4 linked regions of the Bombyx mori genome follow. The protein of the gene in region 1 purifies or fractionates together with the protein of each later gene. This does not show direct contact. Links are inferred from orthologs where the notes say so. Each region holds a gene or a part of one and is shown in the gene's direction. Other genes may lie near its edges. The genes, in order: T-complex protein 1 subunit eta, DDB1- and CUL4-associated factor 7, telomerase Cajal body protein 1 homolog and viral IAP-associated factor homolog.

Evidence for each region.
Region 2: the proteins of T-complex protein 1 subunit eta (region 1) and DDB1- and CUL4-associated factor 7 purify together in Homo sapiens (affinity purification with mass spectrometry; 4 studies listed by BioGRID and IntAct, counting the BioPlex papers as one, with this or other methods). This does not show direct contact. The link is inferred for Bombyx mori from reciprocal best matches to the Homo sapiens genes CCT7 and DCAF7.
Region 3: the proteins of T-complex protein 1 subunit eta (region 1) and telomerase Cajal body protein 1 homolog purify together in Homo sapiens (co-immunoprecipitation; 3 studies listed by BioGRID and IntAct, with this or other methods). This does not show direct contact. The link is inferred for Bombyx mori from reciprocal best matches to the Homo sapiens genes CCT7 and WRAP53.
Region 4: the proteins of T-complex protein 1 subunit eta (region 1) and viral IAP-associated factor homolog purify together in Homo sapiens (co-immunoprecipitation; 4 studies listed by BioGRID and IntAct, counting the BioPlex papers as one, with this or other methods). This does not show direct contact. The link is inferred for Bombyx mori from reciprocal best matches to the Homo sapiens genes CCT7 and PDCL3.

The regions. Positions count from the first base shown.
Region 1 is NC_085130.1:19,009,095-19,016,695, reverse strand, and holds part of T-complex protein 1 subunit eta, read left to right. Parts: intron 1-206; coding exon 207-305; intron 306-2,036; coding exon 2,037-2,132; intron 2,133-3,468; coding exon 3,469-3,534; intron 3,535-4,011; coding exon 4,012-4,087; intron 4,088-4,509; coding exon 4,510-4,621; intron 4,622-5,076; coding exon 5,077-5,210; intron 5,211-5,664; coding exon 5,665-5,840; intron 5,841-6,647; coding exon 6,648-6,802; intron 6,803-7,601. UniProt on the Homo sapiens protein: Component of the chaperonin-containing T-complex (TRiC), a molecular chaperone complex that assists the folding of actin, tubulin and other proteins upon ATP hydrolysis.
Region 2 is NC_085118.1:1,109,039-1,117,372, reverse strand, and holds the start of DDB1- and CUL4-associated factor 7, read left to right. Parts: upstream 1-4,028; 5' UTR 4,029-4,259; intron 4,260-4,422; 5' UTR 4,423-4,443; coding exon 4,444-4,505; intron 4,506-4,920; coding exon 4,921-5,023; intron 5,024-5,822; coding exon 5,823-5,958; intron 5,959-6,476; coding exon 6,477-6,727; intron 6,728-7,773; coding exon 7,774-7,899; intron 7,900-8,334. Other genes in the region: uncharacterized protein LOC134199889, read left to right, coding at 1-165. UniProt on the Homo sapiens protein: Involved in craniofacial development. Acts upstream of the EDN1 pathway and is required for formation of the upper jaw equivalent, the palatoquadrate. The activity required for EDN1 pathway function differs between the first and second arches.
Region 3 is NC_085124.1:10,450,305-10,458,430, forward strand, and holds the start of telomerase Cajal body protein 1 homolog, read left to right. Parts: upstream 1-1,272; 5' UTR 1,273-1,409; coding exon 1,410-1,846; intron 1,847-2,463; coding exon 2,464-2,652; intron 2,653-3,000; coding exon 3,001-3,161; intron 3,162-4,635; coding exon 4,636-4,925; intron 4,926-5,146; coding exon 5,147-5,410; 3' UTR 5,411-8,126. UniProt on the Homo sapiens protein: RNA chaperone that plays a key role in telomere maintenance and RNA localization to Cajal bodies. Specifically recognizes and binds the Cajal body box (CAB box) present in both small Cajal body RNAs (scaRNAs) and telomerase RNA template component (TERC).
Region 4 is NC_085131.1:761,486-769,654, forward strand, and holds viral IAP-associated factor homolog, read left to right. Parts: upstream 1-3,569; 5' UTR 3,570-3,719; coding exon 3,720-3,725; intron 3,726-3,809; coding exon 3,810-3,942; intron 3,943-4,889; coding exon 4,890-5,118; intron 5,119-5,293; coding exon 5,294-5,502; intron 5,503-6,026; coding exon 6,027-6,139; 3' UTR 6,140-7,597; downstream 7,598-8,169. Other genes in the region: atlastin, read right to left, coding at 1,138-1,192. UniProt on the Homo sapiens protein: Acts as a chaperone for the angiogenic VEGF receptor KDR/VEGFR2, increasing its abundance by inhibiting its ubiquitination and degradation.

The DNA.
Region 1 (7,601 bases):
CTTAAATTTAGCCATCTACTCTAAATAAAAAAATTGGTCATTGAACTATATGACGTCTTTTCTCTTAAGCCGTTTACTGTAACTCCGTTTTTTCAAGGCGGCAGCCTTACTGTTTGGGTGCTTTTCCAATCTTTCGTGGTGTTTTTGTTTAGATTTTGCTTAGCTTAAATTATAGTCTTAAAAGTTTGGATGATTTATGTTCACAGCAACCGCAAATACTTTTACTGAGAGAGGGAACGGACCAGACGCAGGGCAAGCCCCAGCTCGTCTCCAACATCAATGCCTGTCAACTTGTTGTCGATGCGGTGAGTATTGAGGGATCTACCGGAAAACGGTTTTACATTTACACCCTTTTTTTTCCTACCTAAGCTGAGAGTCTTGAGAGGCTATATCAGTGTTGCCTTAATTAGTAGGTGAGCTCGCCGGGGTACTCAAACCTGATGACGTAGCTGATACTAGCAAGAGCCGTGCTTCGCAGAATCTACCACCGGATCGGAAACGCGACCCACTGACAAGATCCGGCGAGAAACTCAGTGGGCTGTGTTTGAGGGTTGATCACACCCAATGCTTATGGTCAGCTATAGAAATACTTTTTAATCATCATGCCCATACCACTGATTTGCGATACAGGCATTACATACGCGATCCTGTAGACCGAATGGTAAACAGTCGGCGTCGCCCTAAACACGTCATTACGGATCCGCCCGATCCATTAACGGTACTTTTAGGTACCACAAGCACTGGTCACCATCCTCATCGCACCCGTCGCTTGCGATGAAGGGCTCGACGAGTGAATTTGCCCATAGACAGCTTAATGAGTTTTTCACCGGATCTTCTCAGTGGGTCGCGTTTCCGATCCGTTGGTGGATTCTGTGAAGCACTGCTCTTGCTAGGGCCAGTGTTAGCAAAACTCCCGGGTTAGGCCCCGTGAGCTCACCTACATGTCAAGGAGAAGCTGAAATAGCCTCTCAATGCTATCAGCATAGGTAGGGATAAAAAAAATGCAATTTCAATCACTGCAAATCACTGAGAGGAATGAGCAATAAATAGGCTTACCAATCTATCTATCTATCTCTCTGGTTTATGGCGTTTCCTTTTAGATTTCGCCAATGTCAAGTGTATTTAATACTCTGCTTTCTATAGCGGGCTTCGTGAACGAGCAAGGTCACAGATATTCACTAAGAATTAAGTGACTAGCTAAGAATGTTTGATGACAGGATCTCTGTTGATGTACCTAAAACAAATAAGACGCACACAATATATATACAGGGGTTAGTTCGATAACAGACAGACAAACTACAGCTTAATATTATTATGGTTAATGAATGAACTAAGAATATAAACGAAAGGGGAGTTGACAAGGGAAAGAAGAGATTTGAGATCAATGGGGCGAGGAATATCAGGAGGAAGGAGATCAAAATAGGCTTACTCTTTTACAAATGTATTATGGACAGAGTTTTTTTAAGTCTGCCCATACAAGGATGAGTTGATCTAACACAAGTCTACATTAAGTACAGGTGTACTGAATACGTTCGGTTTCGCTCAAACAAATAAACTAGACAGTAATTTTATTATCATCTAGCTGCATGCCTCCTATGGACATCATGTTTTTACATAACTGCTGTTTTATTCAAAATAGTGTTAGTGATAAAATGGTACATCCAATAAATATATATGGATAATGTAGCATGTAGACTATATCTAGAAGAAGAGCATTGAGGGAACGACCAGAAAGAAGACTATATCTACACTATCACAATAAAATAATCGAGTAATGTTTTGTTACGGTACTAGAGGAGAGGATTGCACTACTACTATGAATAGACGAGTTATGGAGTACAGTAGAGTCCCACATACCTCGTAGGAGGTTCTTGGCCATGGTCCGAAAAAAAAAAAGGGAGTACAGTAGAAACTTTTGAGACCACACAGTCTATCTCTAGCATCCCGCCATATTGCTCAAGTTGCGGACTATGTTTTGTTGTTTAAGATAGTAGGTACTGACTTGATCAGTATTTCAGTAACCCTTCTTGTTACAGGTCAGAACCACCCTGGGTCCCCGTGGTATGGACAAGCTGATTGTAGATCACAATGGAAAGGCGGTTATATCAAACGATGGTGCAACGATCATGAAGGTAGAGGCTTTTGCTGTTGGAAACTAGGACTGCTTGACTGTGTAATTTTCAAAGCCTATGATTAAAACATACGGATCCAATTACTGAATGTTCATGTGGATCATGATAGTAGAAATGAGGCTTTATGCTAAACAAATCATCTTCTCGCATTGAAACTGTATAATCGCCAAACTTACTTAAAGTTTAACATGTGATATTTTTAATATTAATAATTTTTGCAACATTAATTTTTGTTATTTTTTACCAGTTACATTATCTGTCTATTAAAGTAAGATAAAATTATGTATTCATTTTGTTAATAGTAGTCAAAACATAGGTATACTAAAAAAAAAACTAAAACTAAACTATGCTCTTTTGACAGTATTTATGAGAAAAATACTGGTGGTACCAAATGATTCCGCATACTAACTCAATTTCGAATATTTTTTGGAAATTTTACACTTTTAACGTGAAAAGGCGAAATTACTTGAATGATTACTGTTTCAAATATAATTCTGATGTGGTTCTCAAGTATAACAGTGAGCTCAAATCACTTTTCCAGCTTTAAATGCCACGAGCATGTGGCAGATTGTGAGTTCACCCACCTTCTACAGGCCAAAGATCGAACTCTTAGGTGTATTGTACACTCTGTCTTACTTCTAAGTCGTACTTAGGACTTACTTATGAAGTCGTCGTGGCCTAAAGGATAAGACGCCCGGTGTATTCGTATTGAAGCGATGCACCGGTGTTCGAATCCCGCAGGCGGGTACCAATTGTTCTAATGAAATGCGTACTTAACAAATGTTCATGATTGACTTCCACGGTGAAGGAGTAACATCGTGTAATAAAAATCAAACCCGCAAAATTATAATTTGCTTAATGATTGGTGGTAGGACCTCTTTTTAGTCCGCGCGGGTAGGTACCACGACCCTGCCTATTTCTACCGTGAAGCAGTAATGCGTTTCGGTTTGAAGGGTGGGGCAGCCTTTGTAACTATGCTTGAGACCTTAGAACTTATATCTCAAGATGGGTGGCGCATTTACGTTGTAGAGGTCTATGGGCTCCAGTAACCACTTAAAATCGGGTGGGCTGTGAGCCCCAACTAAGCAATAAAAAAAAAATTTTAAAGCTATTGTATTCGTTTAATTTACAATTTTAAACATTTAGAGCTAAAAAAAAACAAAAAGTATACAAAAATAAAAATACAAAAAAAAAACATGGTTAGTCTTTTTTTTGGTTTTTATTGTCTTCCTATCACATATTTTAAGTGAGATTTAGGGAATATTTGTGTAATGCCAATTACATTTTTACTTATGTTACTACAATTGAAGTAAGAGAATGTAATTCATTTTTTCAGCTACTGGATATCATTCACCCTGCCGCTAAAACTCTTGTGGATATTGCAAAGTCTCAAGATGCCGAGGTAATGTACTAAACTTGGACACCTTCATTCATAAAATTGTTAAATGAGAGCAAACTATGGACGTATTGGTGTCTAAAATAGAATATCTATACATTAATACGTGAAGCCAAAACTTTGTACCTCTTTTTTTTGCATGGACAGAGAAGGAGTGCAGAATATTAATTTTTTTTTTTAATTATGCATAAATACAATCTATAAAAAAAAACATTACAATATGTATTTGACACAATATACTCCTTGATTATTTTCTATGATATCGTATCATGTCTAGATGATCACCGTTACTTAAGCCTACATTACGTAAGTACTATCATGCATTTCGGTGAACATCTCAAGAAAATTCAATGATTAAACAAACGGATCCAATTTCCTAATTAATTAATTGAGGAAAATTTAATTTATGGATGAGAATAAAATCATAAAAACGGTTTCGGCAATATTTGGTTTATTATATTTAACACTTGAAAATTAATCCAGGTTGGCGATGGAACCACCTCGGTAGTGATATTGGCCGGTGAAATTCTGAAGAGGTTGAAGCCGTTTGTTGAAGAAGGTCAGTCTTTTGTCTCTTTTTTTATGAAGTTGGTGAACGAACCTGGATGTTGGCAGTATTCTAACAAATAGTACATTTATAAAAATCTATATATATATATAAAAATGAATTGCTGTTTGTTAGTCTCGCTAGAACTCGAGAACAGCTGAACCGATTTGGCTAATTTAGTTATTGAATTATTTGTGGAAGTCCAGAGAAGGTTTAAAGGGTAGATAACTATGAAAATGCTCTGAATTAAATAAAAATAACAATTTTGTGTTTTTCCTTTGATTTGTCCCCCGTCAGATGGATTCCTTTTGTTTGTTATAAGTTTATTTTATACAAAAGTTTAGGTCTTTTATTTATCGACTGAGTCACTACGAAGTCTGCCAGGTCAGCTAGTACATTTATAAAAATAAATATATAAATTTTGTCCTCCAAAGGTGTTCACCCTCGTGTTCTGATCAGAGCAGTCAGAACAGCGTCAAGACTGGCCATTGAGAAAATCAAGGAGCAAGCTGTGAAAATTGATAATAAGTCGCCTGAGGAACAAAGGTAATGAATATAATAGGTTTCTATTACTTTTGTGGTTAGATCTTTAACTGATTAGAGTTTAGACATTTGAATTGTCTTGTATACAATGTTGATGATTTTAATTAATAAATGACCTTTTATATAATAAATAATTGACAGCCGATGATTAAAACATACGGATCCAATTACTGAAATGGTTGTGTGGATCGTGATAGTAGAAATGAGGCTTTATGACAAACCATTAAGGTTTGACTGGCTGGTAGTACGGTGTGTAATGAGTCTGTGCCCCGGTCATCCGTCATGCTGGGAAGCAGTCACTCATCCCATCTGAAGTGTAGGACAGCCATTATATGATACAAAGGCATACATACACATATGATGTCTATGGGTAGTAATAACCATTAATCATCAGTCAGTTTTGTTCTTTCGCTCAGTCCAAAAATTATTAATTGTAAATTATATGCTTATATCAACAGAGATCTCCTATTGAAGTGTGCATCAACAGCGATGTCATCGAAACTGATTCATCAACAGAAGGATCACTTCTCTAAGATTGTTGTTGATGCTGTCCTGTCTTTGGACACTCCACTTCTGCCTCTCGACATGATTGGTGAGTTTTTAGGAAGTTGGGTTGAGACTATACTGTTTCTGAAGCCAATTTTGTTAATCACTACCGGACAAATGGATATCAATATTCATCTTCAAAGTTAGATCTAAATACGTCTCTTTTCGCATTAAAAGTGTACAATTTCCAAAAATATTCGAAATTGAGTTAATATATTTTATGTAAACAATTGGTATCACCAGTATTTTTCTCATAAATTCTGTCAAAATGGCGCAGTTTAGGTTTTTTTTTCTTTTTTGCTTTCCTATGTTTTGACTATTATTAACAAAATGAACACATAATTTTATCTTACTTTAAAAGACAGATAATGTAACTGGTAAAAAATAATGCAACGAGCAATGAACACTTACACATTTCAGAGGTCAATGAACAATACAGTGGGAGAATTATTTTTTTTATAACTATTAGACTTGTAAACGTTAGATGTTGCTTCTTGCAGGAATCAAGAAGGTTCCCGGTGGAGCTCTTGAAGATTCGTTCCTGGTTCCCGGAGTGGCGTTCAAGAAAACTTTCAGTTACGCTGGCTTTGAGATGCAGCCGAAGACATACAAAGACTGCAAGATCGCACTCCTCAATATTGAGCTGGAATTGAAAGCTGAAAGAGACAATGCCGAGGTGGGGATCTTACAATATCTAAATGTTACCAACGTTAATAGTGATGTGGAGCCCACCTGGTGTTAAGTGGTTACCGGAGTCCATAGCATCTACAACGTAAATGCTGTCACCCACCTTGAGATGTGAGTTTTAAGTTCTCAGTATAGTTACAACGGCTGCCCCACCCTTCAAACCGAAACGCATTACTGCCTCACGGCAAAAATAGGCTAAGTGGTGGTACCTACCCGCGCGCAATTATGCAAATTATAATCTTGCGGGTTTGATTTTTATTGCCCGATGTTATTCCTTAACAGTGGAAGTCGATAGTGAACATTGTTAAGTACATATTTCATTAGAAAAATTGTATCCACCTGCGGGATTGGAACACCGATGCATCGCTAGATACGAATGCTCCGGACGGAATCTTATTTATCCCTTAGGCCACGACATTGTAATATTATGTAATGAGTCAGAAGCAGCAAACACAGATAAAAATAAATAAGTTCGTTATTGTATACTAGCGACCCGCCCTCGCTTCGCTTCGGAAACATTAAATTTTATTATTGATAGCCGAGTCCCGTGATTTTACCCGCGGTTATTGTCGTACCGCGAGTGACGCCGCGGGGTGAAACTTGTCTAAAAAAAGTAGCCAAAGTTACTCCTTATATCATCAGCTACCTATCAGTGAATGTCCCGTCAAAATCGATCCAGCCGTTCCAGAGATTAGCCGGAACAAACAGACAAAAATTGTATAAAATGCTATTTTGGTGTATGTAATATATCTGTTGATACTTCTTAATTATTTATTTGTATTAATCCCACATTAAGGTTCGAGTAAACAACGTGAGGGAATATCAGAAGGTGGTGGATGCTGAGTGGCAGATCTTATACGAGAAGCTCGCCGCTTTGCATGCTAGCGGAGCAAATGTGGTCCTCAGCAAGCTGCCCATCGGAGATGTTGCCACACAATACTTTGCGGACCGGTATGTGCTGTTTATTTATGCTAGCTGCTGTACTGACCGAGGCCTTACCTTTATTGGGCCTACAACTAAGAATCTGCACTCATGGCTATGAATATAATTAGTAAAAAAAAAAAATTGCGTATTTACTGGTGGTAGGACCTCTTGTAAGTCTGCACGGGTAGGTACCACCACCCATAAAGCAAAAAAATTTTTTTTTTTTTTTTTTTTTCAAAAAATATAATATGTGGTAAAATCAGGAAATTTTTATTCTAAGATGGGTAGACAACCTGGTGTTAAGTGTTTACCAGTGCCCTACAATGTCAATAATCTAAAAATCCCCAGAAATTAGTTCTAAGTCCTAGTTTTTATAGTACGAAGGTTCACCCTGCTCTTCGAACCAAAACACATTATTGCTTTGCATTAGAAATGGGCAGGGTGCGAGCGGAATTACGTGACACAAATTAAATTACCATTACCATTTTAAATTAAATTACCATTTTTACTGGTGGTAGGACCTCCTGTGAGTCCGCGCGGGTAGGTACCACCACCCCGCCTATTTCTGCCGTGAAGCAGTAATGCGTTTCGGTTTGAAGGGCGGGGCAGCCGTTGTAACTATACTGAGACCTTAGAACTTATATCTCAAGGTGGGTGGCGCATTTACGTTGTAGATGTCTATGGGCTCCAATAACCACTTAACACCAGGTGGGCTTTGAGCTGGTCCACCCATCTAAGCAATAAAAAAATACTTGAAGAGCAATTTATTAAGTAACTTTTTTAATTAATTATAATTTTTTTTTATATATTTTTTATATTAATAATT
Region 2 (8,334 bases), on another chromosome or scaffold:
TATCTAAAAAACCACTTACGTCTACGGAAAGCATTATCACCCTTATGGAAAGGACCATACAAAGTGGTAAAAATACATGGAAACCACACACTTTCCCTTCTCATAAATCGACGACACGTAAGACATCATTATGATGAAATTAAACATGCAGAAGTTGAAACCTAATAAGTATGATTGTGTAATTAATATGATTAATTATTTTATTAGTTTTATTTCCTCTCTAGTATAACTTAACTCAGTAGCCTTTAAGTTAAAAACATTTATCGTAAAACATAAATAATAATAAATACATTCTCTTACAGCCTGTCGGCACCATGTCAAGGCCTATCACGCACTCGAGAAATTACCAATATCGAACAAATTACGAAAAGCCCTGGCATTTACTTTAATCCCTCGGGATCTGTTAGGATAATTAGTGATTATTTACATGTATTAGTACCAATGGACATAGACTACATTAAACCCCATATAGATAACATTCAGACGGTTTTGCATTCAGCCAGATACTTCTGTACTAAAAACAATGTGGTTGACGACCTAGAGTGCGAGAATATGTTCATGCCCCTTTTATCTATGTTCAATGATATCTCAAGGGACTACCACGCCATTTCTCATCTTATCCAAAGTAAATCAAAGAGGTCTGCGTGGATTTCCGGCATCGGCACTATTCTTAAACATATAATAGGCACCATGGATGAGAATGATGCTATAAGGTATAATAAAGCCATTCAAATACTTAAAGATAATAATAGAAAAACTCTAGATTTGATAAAAGAAAATATCCTTATCTCCAAGTCGGCAATTATAACACTCAACGAATCCATAATTGAAATCAACACTAATGAACATAAATTAAACAAAATGATTGAAAACCTATCTTCCAGTATTAAAAACCTAACAAAGGCAAGTAATGCCTTGTTGTTTAAATCTACAATACATGACATGATAAATGTTATTCAATCAAATATGTTAAACTTGTCCTATAAACTAGAAGACATCATAAACTCAATTTTGTTTTCAAAAACCAATACGCTACATCCATCAGTCATAACACCCAAAGATTTGTATTATGACCTTGTTAACAATGTTAAATATCTACCTAGATATTCGGAATTAGCTGTAAGTTTAGAATTAGAAAACATATATGTACTTATAAATCTCTCGGAAATTATTACATGTATTTTAGAAAATAAGCTTATATTTAGTCTTAAAATTCCTCTAGTACTCATTGATACTTATACTTTGTATAAGACAGTACCTATACCAGTACCCCATAATGTAACATCCAAATCTTTTGCACTAATACTACCTACATGTTCTTATGTGGCCTTAAATCAGAGAAAATCGAAGTATCTTAAACTCGATAATCTTTCTAAATGTAAATCTATTAATAAGGAAACTCATATTTGTAAACAATTAGATGAAATAGATATACAAGACTACCCCATCTGTGAAACAGAAATAATGACAAAAGTCTTGAAATCACTTCCGAAACAGTGTAAAACTAAATTTTTATACGGCCATGCCAACATATGGCAATCCTTAAATAATAATAGATGGGTCTTCACACTATCTGAACCCACTAAACTCAACATTGAGTGCACAGACGAAACTACCGAATATATAGTTTCAGGAACAGGCATATTATCCCTGAAACCAAACTGCACTGGATTCTGCAAAAACATAAAATTAATAAGTAAAAGTTATCCTGAATATAAATTCAGTCACATACACTCAGAATTCAATTTAGTAAACGATACATGTTGTAACCCAGCAGTGTTTGAAAATTATAATTATACCGAATCTATTACAGGACTGCATAACTTAGAATCGAATAATTTAGACCAAATAATCAACAAAGCTGATAACATGCTACAAACCTTAAAACATTTAAAATCTCAGAACGAATCTATTTCGATAAGCACTCCCCATTCCATTGTCACATACTTATTTGTAATACTATTTGTTATTTTTATATGTTATTATTTTTGTCATAGAAAGTGCGTGGCTTTTGTGCGTAAATCTAAACCAAACGAAAACACGACGCAAATAAACACACCCCCACAAGAAAATATTCAACTAAATACCCAACCGCGAATAAGAATCCATTAAACTTTATATTAAAATAATCATCGAAAACTTCGGAAAGCCGTAAGTTTTCGCTTAAAGGGGGAGCTGTTATAATATTAACTAGTATATTAATTAATTTACCTAAGACCGAAAAGTGCCTCTAGCAGCACTTTCCGGCCTAACATATACTAGAGCCCCGTTGGCTCGATGTCAGTCACTCTGCGTCGTTACTATGAGCCACACTCTTTCTAAGTAGAATTTTGTATCTTCAAAGTGAATAAAATCTTTTTTAAAAAGAGTTTTTCAAAGTCCCGTATAACAGAGCGCATTCCATTACGCTAACCCGACCTTACGAATTCAGCGCATGAACGCCATTACTTCGGTTAAGGACGAGTCACGCTTTCTTTGTTACCACACTGGCCACTGCATTAGGGACCAGTTACATAATAGTTTACCAGCGTAATAAATAATAATAATAATAATATAGCATCCATTATGGATTTGGTTCGGATAGCATTTGCTGATTTCCGAACTTGGAATGATATTAATGATACAATAGACTTAACTTTGTATACCTAAGTGGCCGACATTCTAAACCCGTAGAATACGGATAACGGATACAGAACTATCCGTTACTTTAACAATTCCTGAAATTTGATCAGCATCGATGGAAGGTGTAATTAACTCACGTGGATCATTATGGGACAAAGCAGTCATAATATGTTATATTTTAACTGTTTTGTTTCTTTATTTTAAAATTTAGTTTTAGTTTATTACAGATTTAGGCTATAAAAAATTAATTGGGGCCTTCGTTTTCATTTTTGAAGATTGTTATCATGTAATCACGTTCCGTTTTCTATTGCATCTGGTTTCTAGTTACCACGAAATGGGGAACACACAACTCAGGCGAGCAGACAGACGCTCTTCGAAACGTCATGGCATTCGAACAAAGCGCCTAATAAAAAGTTTTACATTGCCAGTGTACTTTATTGCTATTAATTAAATTCGGGCACTTTAAGTATCTATAATAATCTTTAACATAGTTATGAGTTAAAAAGTTATACAAACTAATAAGTCTGTCCTTAATTTTTAATTAAGAAACTGAGACTGCCCAGGTATCTAGGCAATAAAAAAATATTATACACAATAATAGAAAACGTAAGAAATTTAGAACCTTTTTACCTACGATATCAGATCAGGAATATGGAAATTCGCAGGAAAACCGTAATAACTGACATAGCCGAAGGAATTGTGAGATTGAAGTGGGCAGAGCATTGCTCGTAGAACAGATGGCCACTATGGCTGAAACGCTTTCGAGTGGCGACTGTGTAAAGATGTAGCTTGGGTGGAGCTCCCACAAGGCAGACCAGCTACCTGTTAAATATAGCGGGAATCCGCCGAATGCAGACAGTGTAGGACCGGTCGTTGTGTCGAGGCTTTGGGGGGGCCTTTGTTCAACAGTGGACATCTGTGGATATTGTCGTTTATTTAACTTTCTATACATAGCCTGGTTTTACTACTCATTCAGTTTCGAATAGGTAGCTTACTCATTATTGAATTTTTACCAGGCATATGTCTTCAAATCCAATTTCGTCTTATTGCAGCCAATTTAATTTATTTTTAAATTATTTCATTTTCATTCATAAAATAATTTTCATTACACTTTTTTAACAACTAACAGAGATTCGACATATACTAAAGTAGGGACCCGCCCTTGCTTCAGAAACTGTAATTGATTATTGATTTCTCCACTATTTAATGGATGTTATTATACATATAAACCTTCCTCTTCAATCTCTATCTATTAAAAAAAGCGCATCAAAATCCGTTGCGTAGTTTTAAAGATTTAAGTATACATAGGGATATAGGGACAGAGAAAGCGACTTTGTTTTATACTATGTAGTGATGAGGTTTACTCGCAGATGCTAAATTCCCGTTGCCTAGTCAAAAAACGAAACGAAAAAAAATTAAAATGTCAGATTGTCCTACTTGCCAGTTGTCAAATTTTGTAAAAATAATGCTTCATGCTTGTTTTCTCCACACAAAACTAAGTTTTTAGTTAATTTCCAATTATAAAATACATTAATTGAAGGTACAGAAGCTCATGGACAGTTCAATATTTAAATAGGTATATTTAAATCAAACATAACAAAGCCGCTTGGTGGCCATTCTGTGATATTACGGCAAAGGTACATAAAATATATATTTTTTGTAAATTTAAAACCATATGTAAAAATCTAAAAAATATAACTTGAAAGGTATGAAAACTTACGTACTTGAAAGACAAAAAAAATAAAAAAGTCACTATTCATTAAAATTTCATATAAATATCATTTTGATTTGTGTTTTCAGAAACATTAAACATTATCAGTGATGTCGATGCCACACAGCAGTTCGAGTACCAGTTCAGGCACGAAACGTAAAGAAATATACAAGTAAGTAACGTTACAACACAATATGAACTATAAATAACAGATTGGAAATAATTGACAGTATAAAATACAGAGTTGACCCAATTTTGAGATTGCTAATTATAATTAGGTATAGCGTGTTATTTATTTCTGTACCCATTCCTATGTTTCGAAACATTTGTAATACAATCAAGCAGGCATTATGGGACTTACTAATTTAATGCTTTAGATGTTTTGAAATATACAGATAATCCTTTCACAATTCCCGAAAAGAACTAAAGTGATGTTAACAAATTGCAAAAACAGCCTTATCTTGATAATTACGTACGAAATTTGAGTTGTTCATACAGTTAGGTTAAATTCTCATAAACGAAGTTGTGATAAAAAAAAAACACTATAAGCTAGACAGCTGCATTTCTATGTCACACATCTTTTACAGATACCAAGCGCCATGGCCATTATACTCAATGAATTGGTCTGTCAGACCTGACAAGAGATTCAGGTTAGCCCTGGGCAGTTTTGTTGAGGAATACAACAATAAAGTAAGCTTTTACAGAGCAGTTATTATATTAATTTAGTAATTTACAAAACATACCAACAGGATTAAGTAAATACAGTATAAAGGCCCAGATAATGAATCATGCAAAGCTAATGCAATTTTAGGGAAGTCAATTTGTCAAAAATTTCCCACTCATTGAATTATAAAAGATAGAGGTGTGTGCCTTATAATCTATAAATGCATAATATTACCAAAGAAAATACACAATAAATTACATATTTTTGTTGTTGTTCATTTTTCAGTAGTTGACAGAATTGGTAGGAGCACTTAGTTTGTGGAGGCTGTTCTTATAGACCAAGTAGACAAATACAGCAAGAAAAAAAAAATTCTAAGTAATTATTGGTGCATAATATTACTTACTTAATTCCACCATTAAATTAGTAAAAACTCAACTACATACTACTAATTAGTTAATTGTTTAGCATAATATACAAACATATAGTAAGTAAACCAGGAGTTCCCAAGATATATAACCCACTTAGACACACAATAACTTGACCGCAAAGGTTTTAATTGGTGAGTATGTTGTATGAATAGGAAAAGAACTAGGGATAGGGTTTTTTAAATAATTTGGGTATGGGGTTTTGAGGTATCAGTTCATTTTAAAAAGGGGTCTGCCAAAAATTGTTTTATATTACCTAATATAAATGAATTTATTAGTTTTCACTACATTGAAGGATTTTTAGTGAAAACTAATATATTAATGGTTTCATTTAACACACATACTGTATTGTAGCATTCCTTGTGCATGACATAAGCTTAATAAAACTCTTAAATCCTAGGTACAAATAATTTCCCTTGATGAAGACACAAGTGAGTTCACTGCAAAAAGTACCTTTGATCACCCGTACCCGACCACCAAGATTATGTGGATACCTGATAGCAAGGGGGTGTATCCAGACTTGTTGGCAACTAGCGGTAAGACTTCGGTAGCAGTTTGTTAGCACTAAGATTACCATATTTAATATGGAGATAATGAGGCTTGAATTTACTTTTACACTGCTACATAGACAAAAACATATACTCCCAAAAATAATGCTTACAATATCATCTCTCTCTAGAGAAACAGTATTCATGATAGTCTTTGAGCTCCATAAACCACTGAATTGTACTTAACTGAGCCTGTCTATCTCCTTTGTCGTCATATCACTCTTGTCAGAGCGGTTGTGGTCGTCATTCAGCATCATTGCTGAGGGCAGATGTTATGCGCCTCACAAGCAATCGCTACTCCTCCCGGTTTGTGGTGAGCCTGGTACACTCATGCAAACAATAATAATCAATCTACATAAATAAAAATAAGTGATACCCTATGAGTACAATATGAATGATTGTGATGTTAATAGAGGCAACTTTCGTTGACATAAACAGTTTTGATAAATAATCAAATTCAAGTAAAACTATTCAATAAAATTTCACAATGGTGCCTTATGTTGCAGGTGATTATCTACGCATATGGCGTGCCGGAGAGCCGTACACATTATTCGAATGTGTCCTAAATAATAATAAGAATTCTGACTTCTGTGCTCCTCTTACATCCTTTGATTGGAACGAAGTGGATCCTAACCTCATTGGCACCAGTAGTATTGACACGACCTGCACCATCTGGGGCTTGGAGACTGGACAGGTCTTGGGCAGGGTCAATGAAGTGTCTGGGCACGTGAAGACTCAGTTGATCGCTCATGATAAGGTTTGTGATTTTTATTTAATAGAAGATCTTGTTAATTCATTTGTGTCCAAAATTTATGTTAATGATTATCTGAAGATTATTGGTGTCTTCAAAAAATTTTCGTTCTGCGAATCTAGTATAACCCCTCGAGGTTACAAGAATATGTTGAAAAAAAAATTTTTTCAAATCAATGTATTCAAATATGTTTAAATCACTTATTACAATTTTGACATGATACATATTTATCAAACTAAAGAATTGCAGGATTGAAATGGGCATGTTACATACGTGCCCGATTTCATAATGATCACATAACATTTTAAGTTTTAATGTAATCATAAGCATGTAGTGTGAAGTATATTCAAGGATGCTCACAACAGATACTAATAGAATTTTATTCTATTGGAGATTCCATTAAAAATCTATTAGCATACACAAAACTGGTGGTAGGACCTCTTGTGAGTCCGCACGGGTAGGTACCACCACCCTGTCTATTTCTGCCGTGAAGCAATAATGCGTTTCGGTTTGAAGGGTGGGACAGCCGTTGTAACTATACTGAGACCTTAGAACTCATATCTCTAGGTGGGTGGCGTTATTTACGTTGTAGATGTCTATGAACTCCGGTAACCTCTTAACACCAGGTGGGCCGTGAGCTGGTCCACCCATCTAAGCATTAAATAAATAATAATAAACAAAGCCGAACGTATACGCCCCTATCTGGTTTTATACACCTTGACATAATACAAGATGCACTCTGCGTGTACATCTTGCTAGACACTGTAAAGTGATGGTTACTTGAACAATAATTTGTCCTTGTCTAACTCGCCTTAGAGAAAGGTGGCTGAACAAAACTTTATATACATGTGGGGGTATACGAAAAAAAGGTTCGACGGTCCGAATGTGGTCGTTCGGAACCTGCATATAGGCAAGCTTATTAAGCTATAGCAAGCTTGAAAATGTCGTAAGCGAGATTCGGGCATCAGTCAAATATCTTGTGTCGTGTGATGGCTACCCGCCACATGCAACTTCTCGCGTACGGCAGCCCTAATGCCGGTGTTTGTGCGCAGGAAGTGTACGACATAGCGTTCAGTAGGGCCGGCGGGGGGCGAGATATGTTCGCTTCCGTGGGCGCCGACGGATCCGTCCGGATGTTCGACCTCAGGCATCTAGAACATTCCACCATCATTTATGAGGTAAGTACAGGAGGCAGTAAGCAGCGTCTTTCGGCGCTCGTGCATGGGCGCATACTATCATTATTTGGACATGTCTCCCGGCGAGTAAATGACTCCATAAAGCGCCTTATCGTTCAGGGCAAAGTAGAAGACACCAGACCGCGTGGAAAGTTGCACATGCGATAAACTGACCAGGTCAAGTCAGCTATTGGCGGCTGTTTGCCTGAGTGTACCAGGCTCACCACAAACCGGGAAGAGTGGCGATTCCTCGTGAGGCGCATAACATCTGCCCACAGCAATAATGCTGAATAACGACCACGATCGCTCTAACAAGAGTGATACGACAAAGATAAAGATTCAAGAGGCCTGCGGCACGAATGACTAACACAATGAAGGAATGCCGCGTTAAGTCCGAGTTAGTTGACCATGTACTGTGGTAGTAAGACGTCTTGTGAA
Region 3 (8,126 bases), on another chromosome or scaffold:
ATCAAAAGATTAGAACTATTTTTCATATGTTTACTGTACGAGTAATCACTGAAAATACTTTATAAAAATATATTTCACTTTCATCAATGTACTAATTTGATCAATAATGAATAAAGGTTATACCTACCGTCCTTGAACGAAGATAATAAAAATTGCGAGATAATATACTTTCCAAAGTAACTTTTTTGACTGCATTTCAGTTAATTTATTTTGAATTAATTGAAGCGTGACGTGTACAACCATTGAGTGAATTTTGATGATATTTTAAAATAAAACAAGCCACGCCACAGCGCCTTTAGTTGTGTGAGATCTGAATTTAAATACATAAAACATATAATAAAATCTCCGTGCTAACCTGCCTGAGAGACTTTGCTAACATCTACTGTAGCAAGAGTAGTGCTTTATTGAATTTATTGCCGGATCAGAATCGCGACCTACTGATAAGATCCGGTGAGAAACTCAAGGGTTGTGTCTGTGGGTTAATGTATAGTTGTGGTGTCACGGCGGAGCACACGTTCGCATACTGCCCCGCTTTCGCGAAGCAGCGCCGCACCCTCGTTGCAAAAATAGGTCCGGACTATGTGCGGCAGCGACGAGCCCTGGCAGGCGATGCTCGACTTCTGTGAGTCCACCATCATGCAGAAGGAGGCGGCGGAACGGGGAGAGAGAGCTCTTCTTTCCTCTCGGCGCCGGGCCACCGCCACCGAGCCGGGAATTGGAGGAGGGTGTTCGTCCAGCTCCAACCCCTGTGAAGAAGCAGTCTCCTCCCGGTGATGTTCACGGGGCGACCTGAGGTAGTCGAGGTTGCGCCACACGCTATTGTCACTGTAGCGTGCTGGCATGTGACGACGCATCTTCGGAAGCGGTCCGCGATGCGGTCCGCATTGCCGTCGTCGCTGTCGTCGTCGAACATACTGTGGAAGAGCAACCGTATAAGGGGCAGGGGAGTCGTTTAGTGCGGTAGGGTCCTTAAATAATTTTGGACCTACGGTCTGCTTCCAACATCTGCAGATCGTCAAGTCTCATATACCCTGCGTGCCCCCTAGGCGGGGGAACCTCATGGGAGGTTCAGCCCCCGGCCCCAAAAAAAAATTATGTTGTTATGTATGTACGACCGTTCTTGTGATTGATCATTCCCGATCTCGAGATTATATTTCATCCCATATCATCTCATTTCATTTCATTTCACTCCATATAATTATCATTTTTCATAAAAATAAGAATATTATAAATTAATATAAGACATGACCTAAAGATCTTAGTTACCAGGTCATAAAATCCCTTAAAAAAAAGTAAGGCGGTAAGGTCGATTGACGAACGACGATTTTGTTTTTATTTTGAAACCGTGAGCGGAATAATTGTCAATTTGTTATACATAATCACAAATTGTGTTGTGATCTACCTTTATTATGGAAAATTGGTCAATGGAGACACCATCAAGAATAAACGCTGAAAATATACCTCAAACCATAACTCAAAATCCGAGTGAACTTACATTGGGTTCGGCGTGTACAGAAAACGCTTTTCAATATCCAGCATTATTTACAAGCAAAAGCTTTCTTGAATTGTCCACTTGCTCGTGGTCAAGGGGTCGTAATGCTAATGAGAATATACAGCCTTATTTACGTGGATGTAAGTGGTCCCCAGATGGAACCTGTTGCTTAAGTGTTGTCAATAACGATGGTGTTCATGTTACCGAGCTTCCTAGTGAATTGTACCAGGGCGTTGTTTGTGGCGATCGTATAATCGATGTCTTAGAATCAGTGATACATTTAAAAGAAACAGGTTCAGTTTACGACTTCTGTTGGTACCCATTCATGAACAGCACAAATCCCCCTTCCTGTTGGTGAGTGAGATTTAAAACTCAATATTTGGTCTACAATGGAATTGATGTAAATATAAAATATCGTTACTTAAATATCAACCAATCTAAAAATTAAAAAAATGCTCAGTGCCTTATGACAAAGGTGTACAACCAATGTGTTTTACCAGTGATGACGTACGGTTCTGAGATATGGTGTTTCACAAGGGAACTTTTTAAGAAGCTTAGTGTCACACAGCAACCTATAGAGAGGGCTATGTTTGGTATTTCTTTATGAGATCGAATCAGAAATGAGGAGATCCATAGAAGAGCCAAACTTGTTACATAGCCCTAGGATTAGCAAGCTGAAGCGGCAGTGGGAATGCCATATAGTACGAAGATTGACAGCCGATGGGGCAGAAAAATCCTTAAATGGAGACCACGTACTGTCAAGTGCAGTGTGCCGTGTACCAGATGGGCTGATGACATAGTGGACATCAGTAGGAGAGGCCTATGTTCAGCAGTGGACAGGCTGAGATTATGATAAAATATCAATTTTAGTTTGTCAGTAAACATAATTTCTCTTCCTTTAAAATAAGGAGCTGAAATAGATTTCTTAAGAAATGCCTAACTTTCATGTAACTCAATAATTTTATTGACAGCTGGTTAACAACAAAACAAAATTCTCCCATACAAATGTGGGATGCATTTGATGGATCACTCAGATGTTCATACAGAGGATTCAATGCAGTAGATGAAATGGAACCAGCTTTATCAGTTAGCTTTACCTCAGATGGTAGAAAAATCATTGCTGGCTATAAGAAGCATTTAAGAATTTTTGATGTTGAGCGGTAATTCTTCATTATCAAATTTATCTTAAAACTTTAATTTCATGCTCAGTGTGGGTATTTAAGCAAAGCTTAGACTTGCTAATAACTACTTTATATCAAGGCAGGAAGCTTTTATCGTATCTATACTAATATAAAGAGAATTTGTTGTATGGAAGTAAAATCTTTTAATATACTCATTAAGTTAGTAATGTGCTCAAGATAGACAATTTTTTTATTTCTTTGATTGGTATACAACTAGGTTTTAAGTGATTACTAGAGCTCATAGACTTCAACAACATAATTGTTGCAATCCTGCCTGAGTTCTAGGTCTATTTTATTTGCTTGTATATTAATCAGTAAATTTTTTAGGCCTGGCAGAGAATTTACTGAGCAAAAGATTTCTAGTTCAGCATCTAGCATTTCAACACAAAATAACTTAGTTGCTGTTGGTTCTTGGAATACAACAATAACTTTGTATAATGAATCAGAAATTGGTACTAAGAAAATTGGGGACATGTATGGACATGGAGGTAAATAGCACTGAATAATTGGTGTAACGTTTGTTACATATTGTTATATATATACCCAATACCTATATATACCTAATCCAGCCATAAGTTCTGTTTCAAATGAAAATGTTTTTTTTTTAATGAAGTAAAAAGAAATGAAGTCAGCAAAAAATAAAGAAAAATATTCTACTTGAAATGGCCACCTTTGGCTTTTATACAGGCCTTTAATCTGTTTGGCCATGAAACTATGAATTTGCGCACTGTTTCCAAGGGAAATTTCACTGCTTGCTCCAAAGGTTTTTTAAGACTCAATGTCGCTGTATCGCTTAGAGCAGGCCATGTTCTCTAAAACTGACCATAATTTCAAGTCTAATGGTTGAGGTCTGGGCTCGGTGAGGCTGGACTTCAGCTCTTACAAAGTCTGGAACATTGGTTTCAAGCCAGGCTTGGGTAGTTCCTGCCTTGTGACCAGGTGCAGAGACATGCGGGCCAGTCCACAGTATATTTTTAAAAAGTGTATTGCTGAGAGGTTTTACAGCATAATCCAAGACATGGATACATGGACAATGATACACATTGACTGAAGTTTTCACTTTCTTTTTCACAAAAATATAGCTTGTGATTCCTTGATAAGACACGCCCCACCAAACCATCACTGATGCAGGATGATGACCACTTTGTACCTTTCCTACCATTTCAGCAGCTTCTTTAGAACTGTGAGTGTACACTTTATCATTTTGTTTATTGCAGTGTTCTTCAATAGTGAAATTTTTTTCATCAGTAAAGAGAATATTTCTGTGCCTTTCACCTGCATATCGCATCAAAAGGCATTTTCATTTATCCAATCACTTTAATTATAAAGATTGATTTAGGGTATATCCTGCGAGCTTCAGGTCTTGTTTTATAATACGCGACAGAGTCCTATCGGGAATCTTCATTTCTCGCTATAAGATATTTTGCTGCCTAATTCGACGGATTCTGGCTTTAACAGCATTAAGCCTTTGTAGTTGTAACAGGACGCGGCTGCACCGATCTTTTCTGGTCTTCGACAGACGAAGTGTTGTTTTATCTGTTGATAGTTCGATGTACCAACATAATGGCTGATACCTAGCATTTGAAGTGTCTGGAATATGACCGACGGCTCAATACCCACTTTGCGCAAGGCGATCACTGCAATCCTATTTTCCTTAACACCACATTCCTTTGTCATTTGATAATGAACACGAAAAAATATCTGAAATGGCGCAAAATCGAAAGAAGTTTTTAAAATAATATACATGTTCCAAATACAAAATAATTAAAAAGTTGAAAAAAAAGAAAAGTTTTTATGTAACAGTATTTATGGCCAGACTAAGTTATATAATAATATATAGCACAACAAGTATATATTTTTATCAGAAACCTTAAATCCTTTAAGTGCATTCATAATCATTTAGCATATTCATGAATATTCATTTGGCTTTGCGAAATGTTTTGATTTTTTCTATTGCTTCAGGTGGAGTAACGCACATGAAATTCATTCCTGGTACTTTGAAGCTTGTTTCTGGTGCAAGAAAAGATCACAGACTGTTTGTTTGGGACATACGGTATTATAGGAAACCACTAAACATTCTGAGTAGAGTTGTAAATACGAACCAACGAATTTATTTTGATATATCACCTTGTGGAAAATATTTGGTATCGGGTGGTACAGATGGAGTGGTAAAAGTTTGGTCACTTGATCATATAGATTGGCATTCTAGTTTAGATCCAGTTAATAATACAACTGATGATGTTACTTATAAGGTATTATTTTTAATTATATTAATAGCTTGTGTGCTTTATTTTAAAAGCTTTTATTGAAAAAGAGTAATTGAATAAATAGTTTAATTTTGAAGCCTGCATGACATCACAATTGTACAGCTACTGGATGAGATTCTATTTTACTATTTAATGAATATATTGCTTACATGGTAATTAATTTGACGGCTTAAACTCTATTTTTGACTTGACTTTTTCATTTTCAGTTTCCTTTATACAAAGATTGCTGCAATAGCATATCAATTCATCCATATAGACCCATATTGGCTACCGGATCTGGTCAATATCATTTCACAGACCCGATAAAATCTTTGAGTGAGAAAACGAATAATGAAGCCGTAGATTCTAGTTCTGATGATTCTATTAACCAGTATGATATACGATACTCTAGTCACAGTGAAAATTGTTTGACGTTCTGGTGGACTGGGGATGTTATAGAATTAAATAAAAACCTACGTCGTTGTGTTTAAGCAGATGAATCTTTATGTATTTCAATTTATACATTTGTAGTTGATGTTGTGTGAAAAAATGAATGTGATAGATGAGTTTCCACTTTAAAAAAATTTACATGACTTATGTTGACTCTGACCTTCAAGCCTTCTCTTTTCTTATGTTGGCTGGCAATCAAACTGAAAGTGTCAAAAATCTTTGTGATTTTTTTTGGTTCAATAGTATTTATCGAGTAGTCTGATATGTAGATATGAAGAATATTTTTTATATTGTCTACCCTATTTAAATACCCCCTATTTACAAGTATAGTTAAAGTGAAAGGTTTTCAACTATAAAGTTGAAAATAACGAAGTTTGGGGTTCCCGGTCTACTTATTATCATTTAACATTTTACTGGTGATAGGACCTCTTGTGAGTCCGCACGGGTAGGTACCACCACCCTGCCTATTTCTGCCGTGAAGCGGTAATCAGTTTCGGTTTGAAGGGTGGGGCAGCCGTAACTATACTGAGACCTTAGAACTTATATCTCAAGGTGGGTGGCGCATTTACGTTGTAGATGTCTATGGGATCCAGTAACCACTTAACACAAGGTGTGCTGTGAGCTCGTCCACCCATTTGAGCAATAAAAATAAAATAAAACATTCCGTTTATGACCTACATACAATAATTTTATGTTGATAAACACGTTAGTTCGTTACTTAACAGTATCAAACAATCGAATAGTGGACTTTTCCCAAGGCTAATTCGGTTTCCGGCAGTAACAAGTAGATCGATAACATGTCATTGTCGAAAGCAAAGACGATTATGAAAATTTGCGCAAACGTTTATTTTTTAAATCACAACTACCAAAATTTTGTTTAGTTATGATATATGTATGTAAATACTTATAAATTGAGACTAGCCCTTGCATAAAGTCCGCTTAGAAATGTGCGAAAAATTGGCAATCTATTGGCCTATCTCAACCGCAAAACACGTTTTGGATTAAAGGGTAAAATTTAATAACTTTTAGATCTTGTAATGATAAATATTCGAGCAGATTTTGATAAAAATGTTTGGTAAGTTATACGCGGTGTAAAATGTAACTACCCTCGAAGCTGCAACAAAGGTGCTATGCAAATCATTAGCGAAAATCGGGAGACGAAATTGATTTCGGGAATGATTCGCTTCCATTGATAGATGGAAAAATGTGTTGAGAGTGAAATGATCGGACTGAATTTTAAATTTTGACTTTTGAGTCACAATTGCGAATTGCATAAATTTAATTTAAGCCCACGGTATTCCGTTTTCGGGCAAAAATACTTAAACATTCCTTCAAAAATAGAATTTTGTATTGATAAATGTTCGACTGACTTAGAATTATTATCCCATTTTTCTAAAAAAAAGGGCTTAGGAACGGAATGTTCGTGAAAATTGAGTGCCAATTTTAATCTATTGTACTTTTCTATACATATAAGTACTGTTATCACTAATGTTAAGGAAGAAAGAGGGGAGTGACGACAAAAAACGTGTAATGAATTTAAAAGTAATTGTTTTTTGCTGGCACATAGCCGCGACTTAATGTGATCTTTAAAAGTTTATTCTTTTTATTTGCCAACTGATCGTAACAAAACACTTCAAAGATAGTATATGCTTATCAAAATTATCTAAGGCCAATTCGTTCACTCATTGGGGAAACGACTAAGTTGTCCAAAAAAAGGTGCATAGACTAAAAATAAAAATTATCTTTATGATTTTATTTAATAATACGTAGACATAAATAACATATTATCAGTTCTCTTTGTAAAGGATTTTATTTCATAATACGTACTTAGACATAAATAAAATATCAGTTCTCTTTGTAAAGTTTTGTCGACGTCATCCATGGAATATGATAACTCGATCGATTTGCTGACTGTAGTCCTCAGATCCTTGTAAAGCGGCTCAGTTTTATTGCCACGCCGAGACCTTTGGCGTCCGTAAATCTTTATTAAAATGTTTTATGACGATTGCCTTATACGCGTTCAATCAGTTTCGGATTGTTGGGTTCAATCGAAACGTAACTAATACGATATATTACTCAAATATTTAAACGTTTTGTTTGTTTGAAAGCTTATCTATTTGCAACCTCTTTTTCAGGTCTTCGTCTATATATATGTAATAATGATATTATATAGGATAGTATTAAATATGTATTTTTCACGTGATATTAAATATTACATGAAAGTGTCGACGATTACAAGATCCTCGTCGACATGCTTGATGAAATTTGATGGCCCGGTAGGCTTAGTGATTAGTGACCCTGGCGACTGTACTACAGAATTCAGGTTTGATTCCCGATCGGAATCTATCTTTGTAAAATTTATTAGGCATTTTTTGCACATATATTTTTTACATGTATAATACAGGAGAGGACGATATCCGGAGGCCGTTGATGGCCTAGAAAAATAGAAGCTAGTAGAGAGATGATGCATGTGACTAGGAGATGTATGGAAATAGCAATGCAAGGTAGAGGGGGAAGAGGTCGACCGAAGAAGACATGGATGGAGTATGTGAATGACGATATGAGAGACAGAGAGGAGGGAGTGTCAAGATGACGGCTGAGAGAAGAGAATGGAATAGAAAAATTCGCTGTGCCGACCCCACCTAGTGGGATAAGGTGGAGAAAAAGAAGAAGAAGAAGTTGATGGTTTACAAAAAATCATGTAAACTTCAGATCACGGCATCCTGGGTGACTACGATTTTTGTTTGTTTGTTGAGA
Region 4 (8,169 bases), on another chromosome or scaffold:
ACAATTTTATTATACTAGATAGAAATGTAATAATGAATTTGTAAGAATTATAAAATATTAAAAATAGGGCAAGAAATATGAAAGATAAGTGAATAATAATGCAATAGCTGATAATTATGATAGACAACAGATTATCACTACCGCTTCTGAAACAGGTTTTAGAGTAAAAATGTATGGGAAAATCTGAAAACATGGGACATAAAACAACTTATGATATCAGCATTTTAGATAAACCTAACAAGCATGAGTGATTGCATTCTTGTAAAACATTTCCTCCTTATAATCAATAGGAATAATTCAGATGAAAGTTCATAAATTGGTAATAATGTAATGTTTTGTTAGTTTTAAGAATTCAAGCCTACCTGTTTTTTAAAATACAAGAAAGAATGATGACTAGATTATAGTATTGTTTGCCTAATTATTGTTTTTTATTTACTTATTCAATCAATAATATGTATGTAAAAAACAGTCTAAAGATCAAATAGTAAACATATGTTTCAGCTTGCAATAATAAAACAATCAAGTTCCTTCCCACTTAATAACCTTGTGGTGTTTTATTTCTTTGTTTTACAAAACAAGATCTTATCACAATGCATTATCAGTTTATGCATGACATTCCAGCTAATGCATGTTTTACACGTTATTTTTAAGGAGTTAAGCATAATGCATATGATTGGTCTGGTAATGATACGAGAGACTCGTATTAAATAGTGACGAGTAATACCGAAAAAAGTGTTTAATGCAATACTCGACGAGCGACCAAAGTTCAAGTAATTATGAAAGGTTAAATCTAGTACATAACAACAGTCATGTATCACGCGGCTAAACGTTAAGTCCGGAGTAGCGAAATAACTACATTAACAAACAAACAACACTCAAATACCTGAGTCGAACGTCTTCTCGGATCCCCCGGTCATTCTCACGAAGTTTGATGCCTAATGAACCAGTCAAAGCTCGAGGTTGACCGTGCGCTCCGTTCCTGGCAGCCCAGGACCACGATCCACGCAGCAATTATAAAAAGAACCCAATTTCAATGTCACAAATGCAACACGAGGGTACTGAAGACGTCTCAGCCTCGCGCGGACGTCGAACACACTAACCGCGGACTATACACAGAAAAATCGTAACATAATTTACCTTCTCCCTCATGGTCATAGCGTTCCCGATGTTTATGTCCTTCGTTTTCAGCCATATTCAATTTATTTATTACGGACACTAACTTCACTGAACATAGCGACGTAAAATTTTTCCAACACGACGCAGGTTGGTTGACAATATTGACAAGTTGACATTTACGTAAATTGATAGACGTGTCATTTGTCAATTCTGGAGTAAATACAAAAAACCGGTTAAAGCTATGGGTTAAAGTCGTGATTCCATTTGAAACTGTCATTTTTGTGATATTCTTTATGATTTTATGGCCTGAACCTTTAAATCAATCATCTTTAGGAAGTAATTATACATAGAGATAGAAATTGAGAGAGTATTATATGATTACTTTTGTGGAGTCAAATAATTTATTTATGTAATTTGTACAAATTATTTAATCTTGCTAAACGATAAAAGTGTCAAATAAAACTGCTAAAATCAAAGCTTTATTTATAGAGGGCGTAGCCAGCTTTTTCATTTAAAGTGATGGTAGTGATTTTATTAGTTCTTTTTCAGAATCATATTCCTTGGACAGACGAGGTGATGAAATGGTTACTGAATCTCATAGACATTTCAGTTCTCTTAATATCTAAATGACATCGATCTAGCCCTTGCATGCTAAGTTTTTCACATTATTTTCAAATGATATTGGAACATTTGGCGTTAGTGGTAACAAGTAATTAAAAATGTGTTCAATGTTTGGCTTTTTTTGATCAGTTTGAAATCGTAGAGTATTTGTAGGCTAACCATTTATTTTGTGTGTGTGTGGAAAAACGAAATTCACTGAAAATGGCTTCTAAAACTCTTTCTAAATTTTAATGACAGGTTCAGTAGGTACCGTACAATGGGGTAAATAGGGACAAAATCGACCTTCAGATTGAATTTTAAAATAGTTCCAATAAAATAGTCACTGCTCAACCAAATAAATAAGTTGAGTCTTGAACGTACCTAGGTGATAAAAACCGTTACATAATTTTAATTATTCATTTTAAAGAAATAATCGGTAAAATAATGGCCGTCCCAATTTACCCAGCGTCCGGGGTAAATTGACACGGTTAAGGGTTAAATTGGGATATTTGTAAGGGTTGTCAACTCGCAGTACTGCGATATATAGGTAGGTGCCATATAATTATTTATATGGACCGAAATGATGAATACAATCCATAATTTAAGCACAATACACAACATAGTGTAAATTAAGCTGGTTTCTATTCCGAAGCGATGTGACGTGAATGATAATCAACAATACAATGATCAAAAAAAGTATGTGCATGTTATATTTTAGAAAATTATTATTTAATTTCCTTAAAAATCACAACTCTGAAACAAATTGATAAAATAGAATAAAAAATAGAAAACAAAAGGACTGGAAATGCAATAATACAATTTTATTTAATCAACATTTTCAAAATAATCTTTGAGCAAGAGTAAGATATCAGGTGAATAAGATAAAAAAACAGCTTTATCTGATTACTGCCAATAATAACAAAAATAAAAGAAATTCTTTCTAAGCTAAATAACTAAACTCAATTAATTCACTCACTCATAATTGGATATATCGGATTTTTAATTAATGTTACATTTAAAATCTGAGGCCTGTTTTTATTTGTGTGTGCGTTTTGAATGTTAACAAAATCATGATTCGATGCGTGAATAGATTCTGAAATAACAAAAGTTTTGATTCGTTTGAGTTCTTTTAACTTTTAATTTTTTTTATTGCTATAAAGAACATACGACCGGGCAGATATTACAAGGTAAATGTCGCGAAAAAAAGTAATTATATATATACTTTTCTTTTACCTATAATACTTACATAAACTAACTGATAAACACATTAACCTTCTTTACATCACGCAATTAAGTGATAGTATAGGCTAAAAAATCTATTATAAGATATCAGTGACAACCCTAACAAGCCATCCCTATTTTGTCTTTTGGCGTTCCAATTTTGTGTTTTCTCGTCCCTAATTTTTCCAGTCTCGTTCCCAATTACCCTACATACGTCCCAATTTTCCCCAAAAAGAAAGGAAAAAATATACATTTTTTATTTTGTCGAAATATTGTATTTAAAATAAGAATATTGCAACTTACCGTTTGTTGTGGTATTTCCAGGTGTATTAAAAACTTATATAAACTGTGATCTTATTGAAAAAACAACGATAATATTACTTTTTTTAAAAGTTCTTTAAGCTGTTTTAAAACTCACTTTTCAACCACTATTTTCAATTTAATTTGACGAATTTTTGGGACCAACTTAACTCATATTTAGTACTTCCATAGTTAACTTGGTTTTTCTTCTATACATTGATAAATATTAACTTAAACAAAATTAGGTAAATTCCGTGCTACAGGTACTTTGAGAATCTTCCGCAGGTTTGTCCCAATTTACCCCAGGATCCCAATTTACCCCATGTCATGGTACCTATTGTTCTACATATTTCATGACAAAGTTTCCTTTGCCTGTCTCAATGTTAAGTCTATGGAAAAAATATCTGGTGTCAAATTTCCTGAAAAGCTGGAGCAAGTTTATGTATTTCAACTATTAGAATTTTAATTGTTAATTTAATAAAATGCAGGTATAATAAATGGAACTTATCAGTAAAATGATGTGCAGTACATTAAAGTGAAAAGTTTAATTTTATTTTGTTGTTTATTTTTAGAACCCCAATGAAGATACAGAATGGAACGATACCCTTCGAAAGATGGGTATTATACCGCAGAAAGAAGCGGAGTTTTCGGAGGCCGATATTGTGAACATGATAGAGGACACAATACAGCAAAAGGAAGCTGAAAGTAGGTCAACAAATACGAATTTTTGAGGTTAAGCTCTACGATGTAAATGCAATATGTATTGGCTCATCAGTAATCAACAGTGAATCATTACCCGGAAACACTGAACGTAATGAACTTCGAAACTTTTTGGTTTAAGTACCTATAATTTCATTATTCATTATACATTCCTTTAGACTAGTCTAGTTTATAATTGATATGCATCACCAGTACACTAAATGAATCCTGGAATTAAACAGTCACCAAATTAATAGTTTTCTTTCTGCAATTCAATCATTTTGTTAAAAAAATTCTTTGCATCCAACACCTTATGAAATGTTCAGCCAAGCGAGACTCATCACCTAAATTAGCTCTAGTAAGTACAGTTAAGTGGGACGCATTCATTTTTGTACTGGCATAGATAATGAATATTCACCAATTATGAATTTTTTGGTGATTATTTGTTACATCAAAATACATTTGCTTGAATTTATATATAAACTAAATTGAAAATATTCAGGAATAACAAGACATGTTAAGACACTACTAATGTTTAAAGAAATATTTTTCTTAAAGATCTGACAAAATGTTAGTCACACTCTGTATTATTATAATTATAAATGTTCAGCTATGAATTTACAATTAACTTTGTGTTTTGTTTTCCATTCTGACATACTGAACAATTAACCCTACGAATTTAAGAAGTGACTCCCTCAAAAATGTAGTAATCATCACCTATTGGGTGCAGAGAATTGATAGGATAGTTAATGAGTTCATTTCATTGGTAGAACGCCAGTTCAGTTGATAGGGACACTTTTTTTAACATCAGCCAAAACACCATCGTAGATAGTTGTATGCTGAGGACGAGAGTTCAAGCCACCCTTGGCAAGTGTTTTGAACACTATAAACTACATAATTAACTGGACTGACTGTGATGGTCTCCAATAATAACAATTTTTACTTATTCACAGAACAAAAACAATTATCTGAGTTAGACCTTGATGGATTGGACGAACTTGAAGATTCAGAAGATGAGGCTGTTATAGAAGAGTACCGCAGGAAACGATTAGCAGAAATTAAGAAGCTGTCTGAGAAGCCTAGATTCGGAGAAGTGCGAGAAGTCTCTGGTCAAGATTATGTGCAGGAGGTTAACAAGGCTGGTCAAGACATTTGGGTGGTCATTCATTTGTACAAACAGGGGTGAGTGGAACGATGAATAAGATATAAAGACATTAGATAAACCAATATCAATGTATGTAGTTTTTTTCCTCTAGATAACCTAGCACTGACTTTTTATGTCATTGGGCCATTATGACCCTTTATCTGCAGACTGCTCCAATGATTATTATCAATCATATAAATCAAAAAATTTCAGAATACAACAATGTGCACTAATAAATCAACATCTACGAGAATTAGCAGTCAAGTTTCCCTACACAAAATTCTTGAAAGCCATTGCTCAGACTTGCATCCCAAACTTCCCAGAGAGGAATCTGCCTAGTTTATTTGTTTACTTTGAGGGCGAAATGAAGCAGCAGTTTGTGGGGTCCCACGAACTAAGGGGCACCAGTTTGACTTGTGATGGTAAGCTATGAGAATTGATTTTTATAGTTTTTTTTTAATTTAATTATAATTGGTTACATTTTTAGTAAGGATTACTATTAGTGATTGTTATCATATAACAATAGCACCACAAGGCTTGCTTCTCACCAATAGCAAATTTAATACAGTAGTAGTAATTTAGTCAGTAGCAGTATAACATGTGAGTCTCCATTGAGAAGCATCCGTTTTGCCACCAAGAGTGAACTTCAATACAGTGTATTGTAGTTGAAGTAGCTGTGAATAAATCAATTTTTAAATGATGGTAATTGATAGCTTGATACCTTATATAGCATGGCCAATAGTTCTATGTGAACTTTGTGAATCAATTCACTTTTGTAGTGGTTGTTATAGAGTTATGTATGAATTAAATTATATTGACATTGAAAAATAGACAAAAATGAAAATATAATGAATAAAATGAGTCTGAACCGTGAGATATTAGTGATTATAGTCAAATTGAGATGAGCTAGTGGAAAGTAATAAAATAAATGTATTTGAATTTCCAGAACTCGAATACATACTCGGTAAGGTTGGAGCTGTCGAAACGAGCATAACAGAAGATCCCCGACCAAAGATCAAAGACAAGTTGTTTACTGACCTTGGAAGTAATGACTGGTGATTTTAGAATATTAATTTATGTTAAAGTTAATTTATATTTTATGTTACATCTAACAGTATGTTTTTTTTTTAAACTGTATTCTGTCGCTTTACTTATCAAAAGCTTCTTATGTGAACTGTATTAAATTAATATATTAAGGTTTGTGCTAAATGAGCATCATTATCAAGTGAACTTGTGTTGTTATATAGGACCCCGTTGTAAAAAAAAATCTATAGTAATGGCGTATATACAGAGACCGGTTAACCCATGTCTGATGGCAGTCTTTTTGTGGTAATTGATTCAAATAAAAATTAAAACTTCTTTAGTCGCAAACAATTGATATAACTAGATTTAATTGTTACAACAAAACTTGCGAAAGTATGTGACTGTATGAAATTCAAGTCATATATTTTGATTTAAACGGTCAGGTCAAAGGGCATTTGTTTATTTAATCCTTTGAAAAAAAAAAATTTGCTCACTGACCTCTTATAAATGAGGACAAATAAGCCTCGCGTCGCAGCGCAGTTGGTCACTCACACAGGGCTACAGGTTTTAGTTCAATAATATAGTAACAAATATATTTTTATACAAATGTATTGTAGATGAGACTAAAAGAAATGAATTTGTAATTTTTTTCGTTCAAACATACACTAGGGCCTATCCAAAACTTTATAACGAAGGCGGGAATCATGTCTGTCTTAATAGAATGAAATTATTTATGAAAATATGAATATATTTTTGCCTTATTGTATTTATAAAAGTTATATTGAAAATTTTTGCCTTCTGGGATGTAGTATTACTAATTTCTTGTTTTTAATGCACAATGTTAATTTATTTGTTTATTTACTCATTGTCCATAAATACAATTCGTAACCGGATGCTAATAACAAAATAGTCTGATTAGTACTTCATCAAGCGCATACAGTTTGTATACCCAGTTATGGGACTTTTTTGGGGTTTTAATGCTTCATTGTATTTCTAGCTTTCGTGGAGTAAATGCTATTCTATATGTTTAAGTACTCTTCCCTGATAACTAAGACTTTGATCCAATTTGTGCACATCAATTCATAGTATGAGTATTCTACCAGCGCCTCATGCTTTACGTTGACAATTACCCTATACGACATTATAATATGTGGTTAATCATTGTGTATTTATGTACAATCAATGTCAGATCGTAGTATGTATAGATCTAAACTGATAAGTGTAACGAGGAATAGCACTAACACAAGAGCGGCTCGGTTACCTGTTGTAGCATAATTGATTAAAACCTTTGTTTTAAGAAATTATGAAGAAATGAAAAAAAATGTTAAAATTTTTTTTGTTCCATGCAACACTTTAATGTCAATTACATGTCATTTAATTTAAATACACATATACCAATATATAATTACTAAAATAAAACGAAGACTTAGTGTAAATATGATAAGAATCTACATCTGTATTTGATTATTTACAATTAAATATGTTTGCTGTTCATTGGTTTTTTTTTCAATGACATACGCACACACAATACTTACTACGCAACGCAATAGATTATAGCTGTATTTTATTCTTAAATTACTTTTCGACGAATTTACAGTACATATAATCTATGTAAAAATGCCGTCCATTGGCTAGATCTATCTTAGCTATTTATGGCTTTAAATGTTCCCTAACTGTCTTAATGAAGTTCCTATGGGGAAAATGGAAGATTAAATGTTGCTGTAATTGAGTTGTATGTTGTTTTACGTGTGAGAGGGAACTTCATGTGCCGGATTGTGCAGGACCGAGCTTACAAGGGTTTGACTGGATCCCTGAATACTATGAATTTACGGTTATTTTAACTGACTTACTTTATTACAATTTTAAACCATGAATTTCACCTTGTGCCTTTAATGTCTGTCTATATGTGAGCATTTATGAACATAGCAGCCAAATAAAATTGTAGTCATGGCTATGATCTGCTGCAGAGAATTATCCTTTAATCAAGGTCACATTGTGTTTAAGTGTGTGAAGTACCTTTGTGAAAAAATCTTTCGAATGTTCTTGACACATAATTTCGGTTTTTG